Pelodiscus sinensis: one gene and its partner. The protein of the gene in region 1 purifies or fractionates together with the protein of each later gene. This does not show direct contact. Links are inferred from orthologs where the notes say so. Each region holds a gene or a part of one and is shown on either strand. Other genes may lie near its edges. The genes, in order: EYA2 and ACAD9.

Region 1 (8,942 bases):
ACAATTCAGTAACACCAAGCATAAATTTGTCAATACTTCAATGTGCCTTGTTACCATAGTGCATGTCTGAATTTAACACGTCTGTATAATAGTAATGTCTGCTCGTGTTGTAACTTAGTATAGATTCTTAGAGTTTCTCTCCAACTAACATTTTATTCCTCCTAAATGAAGCTCTCTTATAATGAAATTTAAAATGACAAAGGTTGTGACATTTTTTAAACAATAGCGCATTTAGACCCTTTCAACCAAATTATGGTCTTATAATTAGCAAGTCATGGGGATCTAGTCTCACTGAAATATTTAAAAACAAAATGGTGGTGAGGGAATACAAATGATAATGTTTAATAGATAAATTTATAACCTGCTGTTGTTTATTTGAATAAATCTGTCACATGAACAATTTGATTTTAATTAATTTTATTATTTAAGATAAAATCATGAAGTACTCTTTTGAGAGGATTTTTCTGGCTTTTTTTGGATTTTGGAGAGTAGTTTGTTAAAAAACAATCATCAGGGTTATTGGCTGTAATACGCCTCTCCAAATGAATTTCAAATGTGATTTTTGAAAGATGATATTGGAACATATTCAATGCTACAAATACTTACAACTCTGTAGGACAACCATCTTGAAGTCTCTCATAATCACACTTACAATATTATGGGCCATCAATTGTTAAGCAGAAATGGAAATTATTTGTCTTTAAAAAGTGATGGTGCAAGATGGCCCAGAAAAAGAATCAGCCTGTCCTAGATTTTTAAATCTAACATCTTAGCGCCCTTTAAGCTGTTTTTACTTTGGAAACAAACAAACAGGTTAAATATCTGCTATCTTCTTGGGCTCAGCATGCAAGAACGTTCAAAAATGTCCAATACATATGAATTGCAGTGTCACATGAAAATAGAAGTCCTCGGTGTATTTGGAAACTATGAATGACAAAATACTCCATTAAAAGCATTCCAAAAGAGGAAAATTCTCAGTAAACCAACCAGCAAATTCTATTAAGTCTGAACAATTAAACCATTTTGTCCAGTTACATTAGGAGTGTTAAGGAATATGCATGTCTGATACTCTACCAAACAAAACAGTTTTTAATAAATTGGATGTAGACCAATAAAAGTTTAATTAACCATGTGTTTTAACAATTAAAAATTTCATCCAAGAGGAACATATTAAATCAATAGATTAGTAATTTGAAATACAGCGGCTGTATACCTGAAATAATTTCATTTAGCAGCATTCTCTGAATTCAACAAGCTGTGTTTAAGCGTATAAATCACACTAAAGGTTTTCCCCCTCTGTTCACTGAGAACAAAGATTTTGTATTACTTAATTTTATTTAAGTCTATAATTAAGTTACTTAGTTGTGGTTTGTAAATAAACTTGTTTTACACTAGTTAAATGCCTTGCATAGTGTTTCTTAAAAACGCCAGTTAACTAATTTAAACTAATTCCAGATATAAAACGTTAAATCTTATGCTCCAGTACTACATTTAAAAAGCCATTGCAGAATTGATGACAATGTTTTTGCAATACAGTTTTCTGACATTTTTTAGGTTACTTTTTTTTGGGCACGAAGGTATTCAGTACATCAAGCCTAAGCTAACATTTTACAACTTCACATTGCAGTAATTTCTAATTACTTTATTTTGATGTTCTTTTAATGGTCTTGTCTCTGTTCAAACTGCTTCCTAGCATGAGTGAAATGTCTCCAAAACAAAACAATGCATTATCTTGTGTTCTGTATTGCTGTAATAGGGAGCCTTAAATCTGAAATAAGTTATCACCCTACTTTAAATGTATGCCAATGAACCCAAAATAAGAATGCAATTACACTTACAGAATAAAAAATAGCCAGAGCATTTGCAGAGTGGAAGTATAAATAGAAGTACTTGCATCTTAAGCATTATTATGGACAAATAACTGGTACTTTAGAATGGAAATGAAAAACGTATCAAATTGCTCTTTAGTGAAGGAAAAATCTCTACTTTTGTATACTAAGTTTTACTGTCTGTCCACACACAGTCACACTCTTTTCCCACATGATTCAAAACTACTGATGCATAGGGTAAATCACACCATTATCGACTTATAGCAAACAAATATTCCACTCCAGCTCATCTGATGAAAGTGGGTTTTACCCACGAATGCTCATGGTCCTATACCTCTGTTAGTTTCTAAGGTGCCACAGGACTACTCATTGTTTTTAAAATTACCCCATGTGTTCACAGAAAACTGAGAAAGCAGAATCAATATTCACCTACCCACAATGGCATGAGGCTTAACATTAATTCAATACTCCGCTCTCCCGCTTCCAGCCCCATGAGCGAACTAGTGTCACCAAGGAAGATTTCACCCACAAAGAACTCCCTTCCTACTCTTATCAACACTATTTAACCCCCCTGCTCAGTCTCGTTCGACTCACCCTCCCTGCCTTTTGCAAACTGCTCCAAAACCATACGAGGACTGAGCAAACAAACAGCGTCATTTCCATGCTCATGAGTTTGATTTTCTGTTAACTGCTTAACCAGTGTAAAATGCCACCGATTCTCCTACCGGCTGCTGCCCCTCGCCGGGGTGGGCAAGGGCAGGGAGAAATACCGCAGCGACCCAGGCACGCCGCGGGCAAGTCTCTGCTTTTAGGAAGTGGAGGGAAGAATTTTTTCCAAGCGCGGCTCCTGCGAGGAGACAAGGAGCGTGTGCCACGACCATGCGGTCGAGTGTGACAGTTTCCTCTTCCTTCCCTGCGATGGGGCAGGTTGGGGGTATTGGTCTGGGGAGATGCACTGGCCGGGCTCCCCACGCCCCGCTCCCCAGCCCTAAGAAACAGAAGGCGGCAGCATGGGAAGGACCGGAGCTGGGTATTTCATCCCAGCGCCCAAACCCGGTGCGTAGTGCCCGCTGGGCACATGTCCCTTAGGCAGCAGCCTGGACAAGGGCGTGGGGAGCCGTGCCTAAAGCATCCCTGGCCTCTCCCCGCCCCGAGCAAGGGCCGGTGCCCAGAGCTCCCCAATGCCCCTCTCCGTTCCACCCCGGGGCCAGCGCACTGGCAGGGAAAGGGGGCGCACTCACCACCGGCTACGGACGGTGTTCGCCCCGGGGCTCTCAGCTTCCTGTCCCCGCAGCGCCCGCCAGGGGAGGGAGGCCGGGGCAGCTGCTGCGCGGCTGGGAACTCCAGAGCCGGTGTAAGAGCAGCCTCTGCCTGGTTTCCCAATGTGCCCTCCAAACTCCTGACACAGCCCCAGTGAGCATGTGCGGAGTGTGTGTGCACATGCCCGCTGGGAGAGTGACGCCTCTGCCCTTACCTTCTCCCCCGCCAGGAGTCCTCGAGCGACCCCGGAGCGCAGGGCTGCTGGGGAGACGGAAGGGCAGGTGTTAGACAGCGGTGTCACAGAACTAGCAGGGGATTGCAGCGCTCTGGTGCGCCTCTGCAGTACTGGAGCAAAGGATGCGGGGGGCAGGCGTGGTCCCTAGAGTGAAGTAAAAGTTGGAGCCAGACTTAATAACCAACACCCCCATAAAATCATGAGAGGGGTTGAAAAAAATCACCATAAAAACAATATTTGGGGATTTATTGTCGCTTGCCTGCTAGCTTGGAGCCTGTAGGGCGCACTTAGGCTTGAAAATGTGACCCTTCTCCTCCCACACGAGTGTTAGAAAAGAGAGAGAATTCGGAGAGAGAATTCTGAGCGCCTCAGGGAATCAATTGCTTGTATCCAAAAGCTAAGATCAGAGGTAAATCACCAAATATGACAACTTCTTGCCATAAAAAAAGCCACCAAAGTTGGCAGCACTCAAGAGCTGTTACCCCAATAATGATTTCATGGTGCCGTCAAGAAGTTTTCATAGGGTGAGATACACAGGGTTGTTCCATGTACATTGTGCAAATGTGTCTGCTAATATATAGAATATATTTTTACTCTTAATTGTCTTTCATATTACTCTGCATTCCTCTTAATTATCATTCTTGATTGTATTTATTTTGATTTTACTGACAATTGTTTAGCCTATTATTTCCCTCTTCTGAATTCATAATGCTTCTGCTGCTGTTGTCAAACTTGCCTCCTATTATAAAACGTTGTTTGGCTAAAGAAGGACCTTTACAAAATGTGACAAAACATAACAAAAACCAATATATGTTTTCCATCATTTAGAAATGCATAATAGTATAGCATGCTTTTGTTGGTTTTATTAAGATAAATAAGTAGCTATCAATTGATATAAATAGCCATTTAAATTGTCAACAAAAGAGATTGATGAGGTAACTGGTTTCAAAGTGGATGTCCAAATATCAAAACTTCTTCATAGAAGTTGGTTTCCACTACAGTAAAACAATTGTTTTTGTGGCAGTTTGCTCTTATACATGCTACTTCACTGACGTTATTTCAAAATAACATAGTCTGTGTCTACACTACAAGCAATTATTTCAACATAATATTGAAATAATGTCCAGCTGGAGGACTTCTTGCTCCAACTCCTGCAACTCTCATTTTACAAGGAGGATGAGAAGTTGGAGAAAGAGTGCTCTTCCTTAGACTTTCTGCTGCGTAGACAGCACCAAAAGCCTAAATAAGCTATTTCAACTTAAGCTACGCAATTGACATAGCTGAAGTTGCGTAGCTTATTTCGGCTTTAGCCCAGCTGTATTGACATGCTAGGGCCTGACCCTGAAAACACTTACATGAGTAACGTGATTCACCTGAGTTGTCCTACTGTGATCACGGATGTGCCAGCAACAGAGTTTTTCACAGTGCAGAAGATGTATGCACCACCCCAAGCAGCCCCTTCAGATAGGGAAAGCCTATAATTTCTTCTGTTAGGAGAGTCAACCCACCGCAATACAGGGTAGCTTGATACATGAGTCACACAAACAATTAGAAACACTCATACATGTCCCATATATACACAACAAAACCACGAGATAACACAGATGCATTCTGATCCTCTCAGTACATACACATTACTGATTTGTACTTATATGCGTGGGGAGACGTGCATAAGTACATACAGGGGCGGATGAGTTTTGCGAGGCTCAGGACACGGGGCCTATTGAAGCACAGGGCCTGGGGCAGCTGCCTCACTCGCCCTGCCCTATATCCGCCGCCGAGTACATACCATCTACCCCACATTCTCACACATACAGACAGTCTCTTCCACACATATTAATACACTCATGGATTTTACTCATTTGACAATGGAACAAAAACATCACTACTACTAGACAGCTGTTTTTACTAAAATCCTTTGGATCAGCCTGACTGCAAAGTATTCCGACATTTCAAAAGAAATCTAGAGTCCTGCATCAGTATGGAGCTAGAAGAGTTCCTAACATGAACTGCCTTCCATAGCCCCCAAAACCAAAACTCTTTCAGTTGTTACTCTCACTCTTCTCCATAAGTTCACAGAACTAACTCAAGGATTTGCTGCAGTTCTGAATTCATGTCACTCGTGTTAAATTAGCCTAAATCACTAGCCCGGATTATCCTTTCTCTGATTCTTTTCACCCGCCCAGAATTCTGACTCAATGACTGGTCCACAGGCTATCCAGAATTAACTATGTCTTTCAGGGTTAGTCTCTACAACACTTTCTCCTTCCTCCAATAACCTGATTGCCCTCTTAACTCGGCTATTTACCAAGTAGGTAAATATGGAATGGTACTTTAAAATGTCTTATATACAAAATTAACTCAGCTCCTCATTTAATTAAGTATGTTAGTGGCTGCACAATGTTATGCACATGATCAATCATATTGAACTCAGTGGCTATGTCTAGATTGGCAAGTTTTTCCGCAAAAGCAGCTGGAAAAACTTGCCAGCTGTCTACACTGTCCGCTTGAATTTCTGCAAGAACACTGACTTCCTACTGTCTGAAATCAGTGCTTCTTGTGGAAATACTATGCTGCTCCCATTCGGGCAAAAGTCCATTTTGCGCAAAGCTTTTGCGCAAAAGGGCCAGTGTAGACAGCTCAGATTTATTTTGAGCAAAAGCGAATCTAGATTGGCATGGACGCTTTTCCGCAAAAAATGCTTTTGCGGAAAAGCGTCCGTGCCAATCTAGACGCTCTTTTCCGCAAATGCTTTTAACGGAAAAGTTTTCCGTTAAAAGCATTTGTGGAAAATCATGCCAGTCTAGACGTAGCCAGTAAGTTTACTCATGTACTTAAAGCCAGGCACATGCCTAGCTTTATTATTATTATTTGTATTAGTGCCCAAGGACGCTCGGTCATACATCTGTTATGCTAGGTGCTGTACAAATTCAGAATAAAAAGGCAGTCCCTGCCCACCAAAGAGTTTACAGGCAAAGCAATTATTAATTGTGGTCTGAAACACTTGTTATGAGCGGATGGGCAAACAGCTCTATATAGTAGCATGTTGATTTATCTGAAGTACTTTAGTAATATGTTTAGTAGAGAAGTTTTGAAGGGGGGGAATTCATTTTCATAATTCAAAATATTTTGAGCCATTTTGATATATAGCTTTTTATATCACTTTTCATCTGGAGATCTTATAGCACTTAAGTCAGAAAAAAAAGTTTCATTATTTCCATTTTATGGCTGGAGAATCTGAGGCAAAAAGAGGTGAAATCATTTGTGATAGGTTACAGAACAAATCAGGATTAAAAATTGGGATTTCCTAACTCCCAGCCTTGTGCTTATTCCAATAGTGCATGCTGTCTCTGTGGATTAAATAACAAATGGATGTTGTGCAGACATATGTGAATTAATAACAGTTCAGAATCTATATGTCCAATTACTAGATAGCGTTTTTTATGTTCTTACAGCTGAGACAGTTGAAGGGCCATCTGGCTAATGCTCCCAGAAGGATGCTTTCCGTTAAAGGCATACAATTTTCTCCTCAGACACCTGAGAGAGAGAACTGTCTACTTTACCTTCATGTGGGAAAAGAATCAAGACCATAAGATCCTAAGCACAAGCAAAACTGTTCTCTACAACTAGGGCGTGAATGTAACAGTGACATGGACTCTGGTTAGTCATTCATAGATTTTACTATTTACTAGATTTGTTATTCAAAATGGATTAACGTTCTGCCTAACTCTGGGAAATATGGAACCGTACCTGCTGCTTTGTTTCACTGTTATAGCTATGTGTAGCTATGTAAAATTTCCAGAAACCACTTAATTCATTGCCCTGGGCCTTAGGATTCTTATGTATTTCCAGAAGGGTGGTGTCATTCGATTCAGAGCTGGTCCTGTGACTTCTAGACACTGAAAAGATAAAACTATTGCCCAAAAATGCAAGTGGAAGAGTGAAGTATATCCACGAGAGCTGAGCAGGATCCAGAATTTTCATCCCATGGGAAACTTGTATTTCTGAAAAGAAAAAAAAAAGAATTGGAATAAATCATAAGTGCAAAATTTCCCATGCAACAGCAATATCTGGGGGTGGGGGTAGGGAACAGATTCAGAAAACCTACAAGGGAATTTTTTAAATATTTTCTTCTGGCTCCCTGGCTGTCCTGCTGGCAAGCTAGTTGTACAGCCAGGAACACTGGATAGTTCACTCAGCTGCCAGGCAAGCATCCCAGGGAGCTGGCCAGCTGAGGGCCTAACTGCCCATAGAGTCTTAGGAACCCCACTTCTACGGCATTTTGTCATGTGGACTACTGAAGAGTTGGCAGCCCCAGATCCTCTGCAGCCTCCCAGGTCAAGCTGCTGGGGAGCTGGAGCAGAAAATTCAAGTTTTGTGCAAACTGTTTTTTCTGTCAGAAAATTATTCCAAGGGAACATTCCCCAACCAGCTCTAGTATTCACCCCAAGAGGCAAGGAATGAAAACTGTTACATCAGGGAAAACAAATGTTTCCCCAGTATATCAATCCAGGCGACAAAGGGGGAAAAGTTAAGCGTAACTTAGCAGCACTTTTTAGCTTCAATTATGACTTTAAACCAACTCCTGAAACCTACCTAGACATGTGGGAAGTTGCACGGATTCCAGTCGGGGTAGAGAAGTATGTGATAGGATATGATCCAGTATTGCCAATCCTAAGCATCCAATAATTATGAGCAAAACCCCAATCATTGGCTTAGAAATTATGAGATTTCAAAAATAAAAAGTTTAGAGTCCTTTTTGTCTTCTTGTATTTGAGTCTTTAGGGTTTTTTAAACTTTTTTTTGCAATGATGAAGGCCAACAACTTCCTCCTTCCTCATTCCCCATGAAAGATGTGATTATTAGCTAAAAATATGATTCTAGGAGTGAAGGGTATAAGAAAAACTCCAAATTACATGATACTTGGTATTAAATAGCAAGAGCTAGTGACACTATGGTCTCATAACAATTATCTCCTGGACTGCTGTAATATTTGTCTCCCCAGAACTAAATATTTGGAATGATTATTGTTCATTATATAACACCTTTCATTTACATTTGCTTTATAAACCAAGGGTGAGGCATCCTACCACAAAGATTTCACAAGCTGCACAAGACCAACGTTACCCTAATCCTTACTTGTTATAGAGAGAAACATAGTTTTTTGTTTTTGTTTTTTTGTTTTTAATTTGCCCCCAGACTACTAGGACTCAGCCTTACAAGGAACAGAACATGCTGTGCCTGATCCAAAAAGGAGTAATAAGCACATACTTAACTTTAAGCACCCAAGTAGCCTCAGATTGGCCTCAATGAAGCAGAACACTTAAGTACCTATAATGGGAGTGCTCAGTTGCTCAGAGTTAAACTTGCACAAAGTGCTTTGCTGAATCAGTAAGAGTATGCTCACTCAGCACCTTGCTGGATTGAGTCCTCCATAGCTAAGCACTGCTTCAACAAAGACCCCATTCTAGCATCTCACATTTATCATCAGAACTGAAGGCATCCATTCAGTATATTTTTGTATGTATTTACAGTAAATAAAAATCAGGTCATACTAGTAAACAAATTTTTAGTTGTTTCTTTAGTGATTGTCAGGGAACAGTATTAGTTGCTTGGCC
Region 2 (8,761 bases), on another chromosome or scaffold:
AGATTCATTTATAAATCCAAGTAACCAAATGGCCTTATTATTTTGGTTTTTTGAGGGTGGATAATAATGTGAGATCAATACATCTTGTGATTTTCTGGCTCTATACAGCATTTAAACAGCCAGAAGGAAATGGGGGGGATGGGAAGGAAGCAGAAAGGGGGCAAATACACAAAACCCAAATATGGATGAATTTATCTTCAGTACTCCTACTTCTAGTTTCATTTAGAATCCTTTGGCATACACAGCACTATTATGAAGTGTGAGTTAAGATTTTTTTTAAATAACATTTTTGGGTTTGTGCGTAGAGAAAAGGGGAGTTTTCAATCTCATCCAAATATATCATTGAAATAAAATTTCCATCCCAAAATAAAACACAGGAAGCCAAATTCTGTGTTGCTTACTTAGGCAAAGCTCCTGTTGACTTCAGTGGAAAGACTGAGGGATAAGGCCCATCATTAATGTTGCAAAATCTCAGTTCCTGATGAGGTCTCCAATCCAAATAATATTAGAATTAAGGGTACATTTGGTACCTATTGTTATGCCCAAAACGACATCTCAAAAACAGTTGCCCTGTGCAGTGAAGTACTAAGACCTAGTCAACTGGAAGGTTTCATTATTTTTAGCAAGTTTGGGTCCTTTAATTACTCAACTTTTGGGAAGCAAATGCTGTTTTTACTTAGCATTGTCACCATAACTCAAATGTGAAATTCGCTGCATGGTTTGGAAGACATGTCAGCCAAATGAAATAAATCAATTTGCCAGAGTAGGGTAAGAGAGAGAGAAAACTGATTAGCTGTGCAATAGGGTAACTTACACAGCAACTTCAGTTTTCATTTGATTCCTTCCTTATAGAGGTAGTGATTTTAACTGAAGTAGATAATACACAAAGAAAGACTCTGTCTGGTATTCCTCAATGTGAATTAATTTCTTCTAATGCTAATGAAGTTTTTATGCATTTTGAACAGTGGGAAAATATTTCATATCTACAACTACTCATTATTGCTGCAAAATAAGACTTTAATGCATGTTTGGCAAAGAAGTGTAAAACGCTTTTTATCTGAAGCAACAGCACGAGCAATCAATATGCAGCTGCTTCAATCACAACAGACCAGAAGAATCAGGTAATTAATTCATTCCTATTATAAAGTAGCTTTGAATGAAGACGTAATGCACCATTACCCAGCAACACAGACATGCACTATTACCCAGTAACAATCTGGTTACATGCACCATTACCCAGACATGCACTGTTACCCAGTAACACTGGTTTTGCGCACCGTTACCTAGACATGCACTGTTACTCTGAAACACATTGGCTATGGCCTATCAACCCCACTTTCCTATCTCATATGCCAAAAGCAGATAGGAATGATAAAGAAGAAAACATAGCTTATACAATATTTCCCTGTTATTTTCCATCTCATATATATTTGTAAATGACAGAGTATACTCCAGGCCTCAGGAACACTAAGATCCGGATAGCTTTTAGCCTGCATCTTTTAACAAGTGGATTGTTTGAAGTTGCTATGGCTTGAATTGAAATTTTACTTTCTCTAAACTAAATTAAAAAAAAACTGCTTGCAAACTTCACATATGTTCTTAAAACATTCAACTCCACACTAAACAAATAAATAACACTGGCTACTGAATACTGGCCTTAGTTGATGAGTTATGGTGTCATTTCCTTATAATGTTGATATCACTTATTTTTCTGTACTAACAATGATCTTCCATTCTCCTTTCTGTCCTCTCCTTTTCTTTCTTACTTTAGCCTTATCTACCACTACAGACTTAAAAGCAATGGCTTGGTTTTGATCTTGTTTACACAAGTTTTATACCTATGTCATTCCACTGCCTTCAGTGAGGTTACTCCTGACTTACGCCAGTGTGAAATCACTAGCATGGATGAAATCTTGACTCAATGGTAGTGAGTAGAAGTCCAGCTTTCACCCCAAGGTTTTCAAGACACCTGCTTTGCCACAAAGCTCCTTCCTTATGTGCTTCCCTTCCTTATGTGTGGAAATTCTACCATAGTGGTGTCTTGTTGCTTTATTACTGCGAATGTAACAGAATTGTTCAAAACACAAACATTTGAAAACACCAGCTTCTCTTCAAGCAATGACAAATTCAGGGCCAGGTTCAGGAGTGCCTTTAAGTTGCTGAAGTGTTGTCCAGAATAATGATACTTTTCTGATTTGTGGCTGGTGCATATAAGCACAGGTGGGTTGACCTTGGCTGAAATGAGCCATTCCCAGAAAGCTACAGCACTTCAGATTCTTACCGGGACCCTAAATCCTGTATTATCTTCATATTTATGTAAAAAAGAATAGCTATAGAAAGTGAAATCCCTTACCCTGAAAAAACTTAAAAAACAGCCAATAGCCCTGCAGCACCTTGGGATATGTCTACACTACAGAGTTTTTTCAGAAAAATCGCAGATTTTCTGAAAAAACTTCAATTATGTCCATACTGCAATCACATTTTTTCAAAAAAAAATTGAAAGAACTGAGGGTTTTTTCCAACATTGGTAAACCTCTTTCTACGAGGAAGAAACCTTTTTCCGAAAGAGATCATTCAGAAAAAAGCATGTGTGGACGGGGAAGAGGGAGTTCTTTCACCAGAAGATGAAAGAGGAAAAAACACAGGCTTCCTGCTGGCCATTCCTCCCATAGTAATCACAGGTTACACATGAGAGAGCGTCCATTCAGTATGCTTGTTATCTTTCGAAAAGCAGATCACTTTTTCGATGCGCTTTGGCAATGTGGATGCTTTCCTTCGGAAGAATTTTTTTCGGAAGATCTCTTCCAGAAAAGCTTCTTCCAAAAGAAGCCTGCAGTCTAGACATAGCCTTAGAGACTAACAAAAATTGTAGATGGCATCATGAGCTTTTGTGGGTACAACCCACTTCTTCAGATGAATGGAGTAAAGGAGTCCGGGTTGCAAATAAATAGCAAAAAAAGAGGGGATGGGGACGGAAAGAGAAGAGGAAAAAATGGAGAAAAAAAGTTGTCAATTCTCATAGACTCGTAGGGTATGTCTACACTACGGCGCTAATTCGAACTAACTTAGTTCGAATTAGTTAATTCGAACTAAGCTAATTCGAACTAACGGATCCAGACTAAAAACTAGTTCGAATTAGCGTTTTGCTAATTCGAACTAGCATGTCCACATTAAGTGGACCCTGAACCGGGGTTAAGGATGGCCGGAAGCAGTGCCGGCAGGGCATCAGATGAGGACTTAGAGCGTGGAGCTGCTGCCTCAGGCTAGCCAAGGGCTGTGCTTAAAGGGACCCGACCCCCACCCCGGACTTGCAAAGCAGTCCTGGCTTGGATTGCCCGGAGTACCCACACTGGGCACATCACAGCACTCGGCCATCAGCCTGGCTGCACTTGCCGCAGGTAGCCATCTGGGGAGAGGGGGCAATTGGGGGGCTGCAGGAGAGCTTCCACCCCCAGAAGCCCGCAGAGCCAGCCCAGTCCTCCCCATCGGGGGCTCGTACCCCATTCCTCCCTCACCTCCTTCCACTTACCCTTCCTTAGCCCCCCTTCCTGATGTACAAAATAAAGGACACGTGTGGTCAAAAATAGAATCTCTCTTTATTGAACAAAACTCAGGAAGACTGGGAAAAGGAGGTGGGAGAGGGGAAGAGAGAGGGTAGGAGAGGGGAGGGCAACTAAAATGATCAGAGGTTTGGAACAGGTCCCATATGAAGAGAGGCTAAAGAGACTGGGACTTTTCAATTTAGAAAAGAGGAGACTGAGGGGGGATAGGGTAGAGGTCTATAAACGCATGAGTGGGGTGGAGAGGGTGCATCAAGAAAAGTTCTTCATTAGTTCCCATAAAGAAGGACTAGAGGACACCAAAGGAAAGGAATGGGTAGCAGGCTTCAAACTAGTAACAGAAAGTTGTTCTTCACAAAGCAAAGAGTCAACCTGTGGAACTCCTTGCTGCAGGAGGCTGTGAAGGCTAGAACTAGAACAGAGTTTAAAGAGAAGTGAGATAAAGTGATGGAGGTCATAGATTTCAAGTTAAAAGTTTTCTAACATCTATCACATCACTTTTTCTTCTTAATAATTACTTTAAGGTGAGGAGAGACTACTTAAGCAAAAAAAGAGAGAATGTTGTATCTTTTTTCCTGAAAGCCAGTGCAAAATGACATCAAGATTATAGGATAGAGTGACCTTAAATGGGGTGCCAAAACTGAGAGTTGTGGCAAACGCAGGGCTGGAGCATATAAACTTCCATTTTCAGTTTGGGGCTGCACGTCCAGAAAAAGATCAGCATTTCAGGTATGGGACTGAAATGGGGCAGTTGCTCTGTTCTGGTTTATAAGGGATTTTAAAAAAAACTGTGGGAGAGGGCTGTCTTAGAAGCCAACTGGAAGGAGGTTTGATGCAGCCAATCACAGCCCAGCTGGGCTGTATAAAAGGGCTGCTATGCAGTGAGTGTTTATCTTTGCTCTAGTTCTGGAGGAAGAGGGACCAAGCAGCCTAGTAGGGGTACTTTGAACAGGGCATACCTAGGGTTGTCAGGTGTCTAGTTTTGAACTGGACAGTCCAATATTTGAGCTTTCTGTTTGGGAAACAAATTGAGAAAATATAAACGTCTGGTATTTTCTAAATAAGATGTCATGTAGATTGCGATGTCATTAAGTGTGTCCTGTACTTTCATTGAAACCATCGGGCAACCAGCCCTAAGCAGCACTGGGGAAAGGCAGAGCGAGACAAGACAACTGGGCTGTGTCTACACTGGCATGAATTTCCGGAACTGCTTAAAACGGAATACTATTCCGTTTTCAGTTTTTCCGGAAAAGGAGCGTCTACATTGGCAGGCTGCTTTTCTGGAAAAGCCCTTTTTCCGGAAAAGCGTCTGTGGCCAATGTAGACGCGCTTTTCCGGAAAAGAGCCCCGATCGCCATTTTCGCGATCGGGGCTTTTTTCTGGAAAAGACTACTGGGCTGTCTACACTGGCCCTTTTCCGGAACAGTGCTCTGGAATAAGGACTTATGCCCGAGCGGGAGCAGAATAGTTTTTCCGGAATAGCGGCTGATTTTGTACAGTAGAGCGTCGTTGCTTTTCCGGAAATTCAAGCAGCCAGTGCAGACAGCTCGCAGCTTATTCCGGAAAAGCGGCTGATTTTCCGGAATAAGTGGCCCAGTGTCGACACAGCCCTGGGATCTGATCACCCCGGGGCAGAGCCACAGGGGCCAGAGGGGTGGTGGGGCTGCAGAGAGCAGGCCCAGGGCAGCTGTGCCCAGGCTCAGGGCGGGACGGGCACAGAAGGCAGCTAAGGGACAGGCAGGCGGCGGCCAGCAGGGGGCGCGGATGGGCTCAGCAGGGAGCCGTTTGGCGCAGGAGACCCGCTTCAGGCTCCGTCGGCCGCCTGTGGTCAGGTGACCCGCCGGACACGTCATCAGCGTGCGCCCCGGACGACGTTTGTGGGCGCCGGGCCGCGGCGGGGGGGGGGTGTCTCAGCACCGTCCGGACATGAGCGGCCTCAGCCTCCTGCTGCGGGCGGCGCGCGCCGCCTTCCCCGCCGGGGCTCGGCAGCTGCGCACTGGCGGCCCCCGCTGCGCCTACGCCAAGGAGCTTTTCCTCGGGAAGCTCTGGAAGGTGAGGCCGGACTTCCGCCCCTCCCCCCCCCCCGTGTGTGCCCAGCCTCTGGGGAGCCTCCCCCGGGCCTCGCCTCCCTCCCCTCCCCGCACTGCCTGGGCCAGGCCGCTGGGGCGCTCCCCTCCCCTCCCCTCCCCGCACTGCCTGGGCCAGGCCGCTGGGGCGCTCCCCTCCCCTCCCCTCCCCGCACTGCCTGGGCCAGGCCTCTGGGGCGCTCCCCTCCCCTCCCCTCCCCGCACTGCCTGGGCCAGGCCGCTGGGGCGCTCCCCTCCCCTCCCCTCCCCGCACTGCCTGGGCCAGGCCTCTGGGGCGCTCCCCTCCCCTCCCCTCCCCGCACTGCCTGGGCCAGGCCGCTGGGGCGCTCCCCTCCCCTCCCCTCCCCGCACTGCCTGGGCCAGGCCTCTGGGGCGCTCCCCTCCCCTCCCCGCCCCGCTACAGGACGCTCCGGAGCGAAGCTGCTGCTTGGTGGGCGGGCTCTTAAAACGCGTTTATGGGAGGACAAACATGTCACCGCTGAATCTCTTCCGTGTTTACACACACATGGGGGGGGGGGGGGGGATCCACTGAGCTGCCGCCTCCGTCCATCTGCACGTGTCTTTCCCGCCTCTGGGTCGCTGCCAGGGCTGCCAGGTGCCTGGCTTTGAACCCGACACTCCAGTATTTGAGCTTCCTCGTCTGGGAAACAAATTGGGAAAATAGAAACGTATCTTCTAAATCACGTGTCATGCACGTTGCGATTTAATGTCAGGTGCGTCCAGTATTTTTGTTGAAACCGTCTGGCAACCCTAATCCCTGAGGTCGTCCACAGGGACGCCAATTCGTTCCGTCTGAATTCAGAGTCTTTCACAATTTCATCCTGGTTTATATCTGTGCCCTGGTCTTAAATCTGTTACCATATTTTTTTCTTCACCTGTGCTACAGTGTTCATAGTTTCCTTAGATTGGCACCTCTGTGCAATTGACTGGGGCTTCCCCTTTTATATGGAACTTTCTCCCCAGTTTAATTTGCCATCCTACCTGCCTTTCTTCATCTGTGTCCTTCATAAAAAAAAGCAGTTCTGTAATGGGATTTATAAGGAATGAGTTTATATGTAAAAAGAAAAAAAAAAAGCAAAGTGGAGGTCGCCTTTTACCAGTGAAATATTCCATATGCTTTTATTATGTCATGTAAATTGTAATATTATGAAATTTGGGACTCTATTCTTTTGTTTATAGTCTGCAATTTATAGTGTCAAGAATAGTTTAGAGCAGGGCTGGAGGATCTTTTTCCTGTCAGAGGCCAGTGACCCACAGAAAAAATCAACATGGAGGGGTGGGGGGAGACTTGGGTCTTCCCACTGCAGCAGGGTGATCAGGTTCTCATAGCTCCAGCCCCATGGAGGCCTGGGGTCAAAAACAAGGGGCTCAGGGTGTGAGAGTGGGGCTCGGGGCTGGAGCAGAAGGTTGTGTTGTGGGCAGGACATAGCGTATAGAAGGGGGTTCCAATCTGGAGTAGAGGGTTGGGGTCTAGATGCAGAGTCTCAGAGGGAGGTGGTGGGGTGCAGGAGAGGATTCCATTTTGCGACTTGGGTAGACTGGAGGTTCCCTTCTCCTGTTTTAGATGCTTAGCAAATAGTAGAGCAGTATCTTTTTACAGGTTGAAATCATTCTGAAATTTGAGTTTCTTTCCTATAGAAACTTAAACAATGAATGGTCCAGTAGCAGCTTAGAGACAAACCAGAAATATAGATAGTATAGTATGATGAGCTTTTGTGGGCACAACCCACTCCATCTGATGATATGATCTTTTATTTTTTTGGTTAGTGTCTAAGCTTCTACAGGACCATTCATTGTTTTTTTTTTTTAATTACAGACTAACACAACTATCCCTCTGAGACTTTTTTCCTATAGAAGTTATCCTGTATTCTATGGAGATTGTGCAAGGTCCAAAGATCCTGGATTCTGTACTGCTGAGTTATCACATTTGGGTGTACAACCATGCTTTGCACTTCAATTTTTGTTCGTTTCAATTGTTAGGAAACAAGTTGTGTAAGGATTTTTTTAAATTATTATTTATATATAAATAAAAAATAAATTACTCTCCGATGTATGTAAAGGAGGATTTTTGTATGGTCACTTTCAGTTCCACATTTCAGTGAACTGTTGGACAGGCAGCAACAGAGGCACATGTTAAACTTTTGATTGTTTGTTAATAGTTGTGTGCCTTTGGGGATGAAAGCAGTGCACTTGTTCATAGCTCACTTCACCTGTTGGCGCACTTCCTTACATATCAAATTTTTTTTCTTCATTCCAGTTTTTCATTTTCAGATGCTGTTTCTGGTTTGTTTCAGCATGCAATATAATTGAAAAATACTGTTTTCCATACAGAACAAGTATCTTTCACTTACTGAAAGTTGTAAATAAGTTTGCTCACTTGAGACTATCTGAATTCCTGTAAACATTTTCTGCTCTTTTGGGTTTTTTTTTTTTAAGACATCATCATCTAAAAGCCATGTGTTTTTTCTTGAACCTGCTCTTTATTTTAAATAAACTTAATCATATTAAAAAACTGACATTTTAGGAGGAAGTTTTCCCTTATCCAGAGATTTCTAATGAAGAATTAGAAGAAATCAACCAGTTTGTAGGACCAGTAGAAAAGTTCTTCAATGAAGAAGGTATGGTTATTATCTTTTTTTCTACATAAATGGCTTCTTATTACTATAATTAAAATAAAAAAACTTTTGGGCATTTATCGTGACTTGTGTATACAGTGACTGTGTCCCCTTGCATTGTCAATTTCTCTTTTTGTGGTTTGTGCAAAGAGAAAAGTGAAATAGAAGAATAATTTATAAAAGCACACATTGAAAGGAGAGATCTGGGGCAGATGTAAGAAGTGAAACTGCTTCTTTAAATTTTTCCATTTAAAAGTTCCTTTCACTGTCCTGTAATTTATAAGCCTCTGACTTTGCTCATCTTTCCAACCAAATTCAATGGAGGCTAGCACAAAAAGAGAATATTTCAGAATCTAAGAGCATATACAACTATGTTCTGCAATCTTAACTAGAGCAGTAGTTCTGGTTTGAAATATTCAGGTATCACCACTTGGAACTAAAACTTCTGCCAGTGAAACCTTCCAGATCATTCCTCTTGTATGCAGTCAGGGAAAGATCA

Evidence for each region.
Region 2: the proteins of EYA2 (region 1) and ACAD9 purify together in Homo sapiens (affinity purification with mass spectrometry; 3 studies listed by BioGRID and IntAct, with this or other methods). This does not show direct contact. The link is inferred for Pelodiscus sinensis from reciprocal best matches to the Homo sapiens genes EYA2 and ACAD9.

What each region holds. Positions count from the first base shown.
Region 1 is NC_134728.1:22,269,561-22,278,502, forward strand, and holds the start of EYA2 (protein phosphatase EYA2), read right to left. Parts: upstream 3,325-8,942; 5' UTR 3,304-3,324; intron 3,247-3,303; exon of another isoform or gene 3,071-3,246; intron 2,932-3,070; exon of another isoform or gene 2,555-2,931; intron 2,542-2,554; exon of another isoform or gene 2,263-2,541; intron 1-2,262. UniProt on the Homo sapiens protein: Functions both as protein phosphatase and as transcriptional coactivator for SIX1, and probably also for SIX2, SIX4 and SIX5.
Region 2 is NC_134721.1:48,473,356-48,482,116, reverse strand, and holds the start of ACAD9 (complex I assembly factor ACAD9, mitochondrial), read left to right. Parts: upstream 1-5,427; 5' UTR 5,428-5,486; coding exon 5,487-5,612; intron 5,613-8,171; coding exon 8,172-8,265; intron 8,266-8,761. UniProt on the Homo sapiens protein: As part of the MCIA complex, primarily participates in the assembly of the mitochondrial complex I and therefore plays a role in oxidative phosphorylation.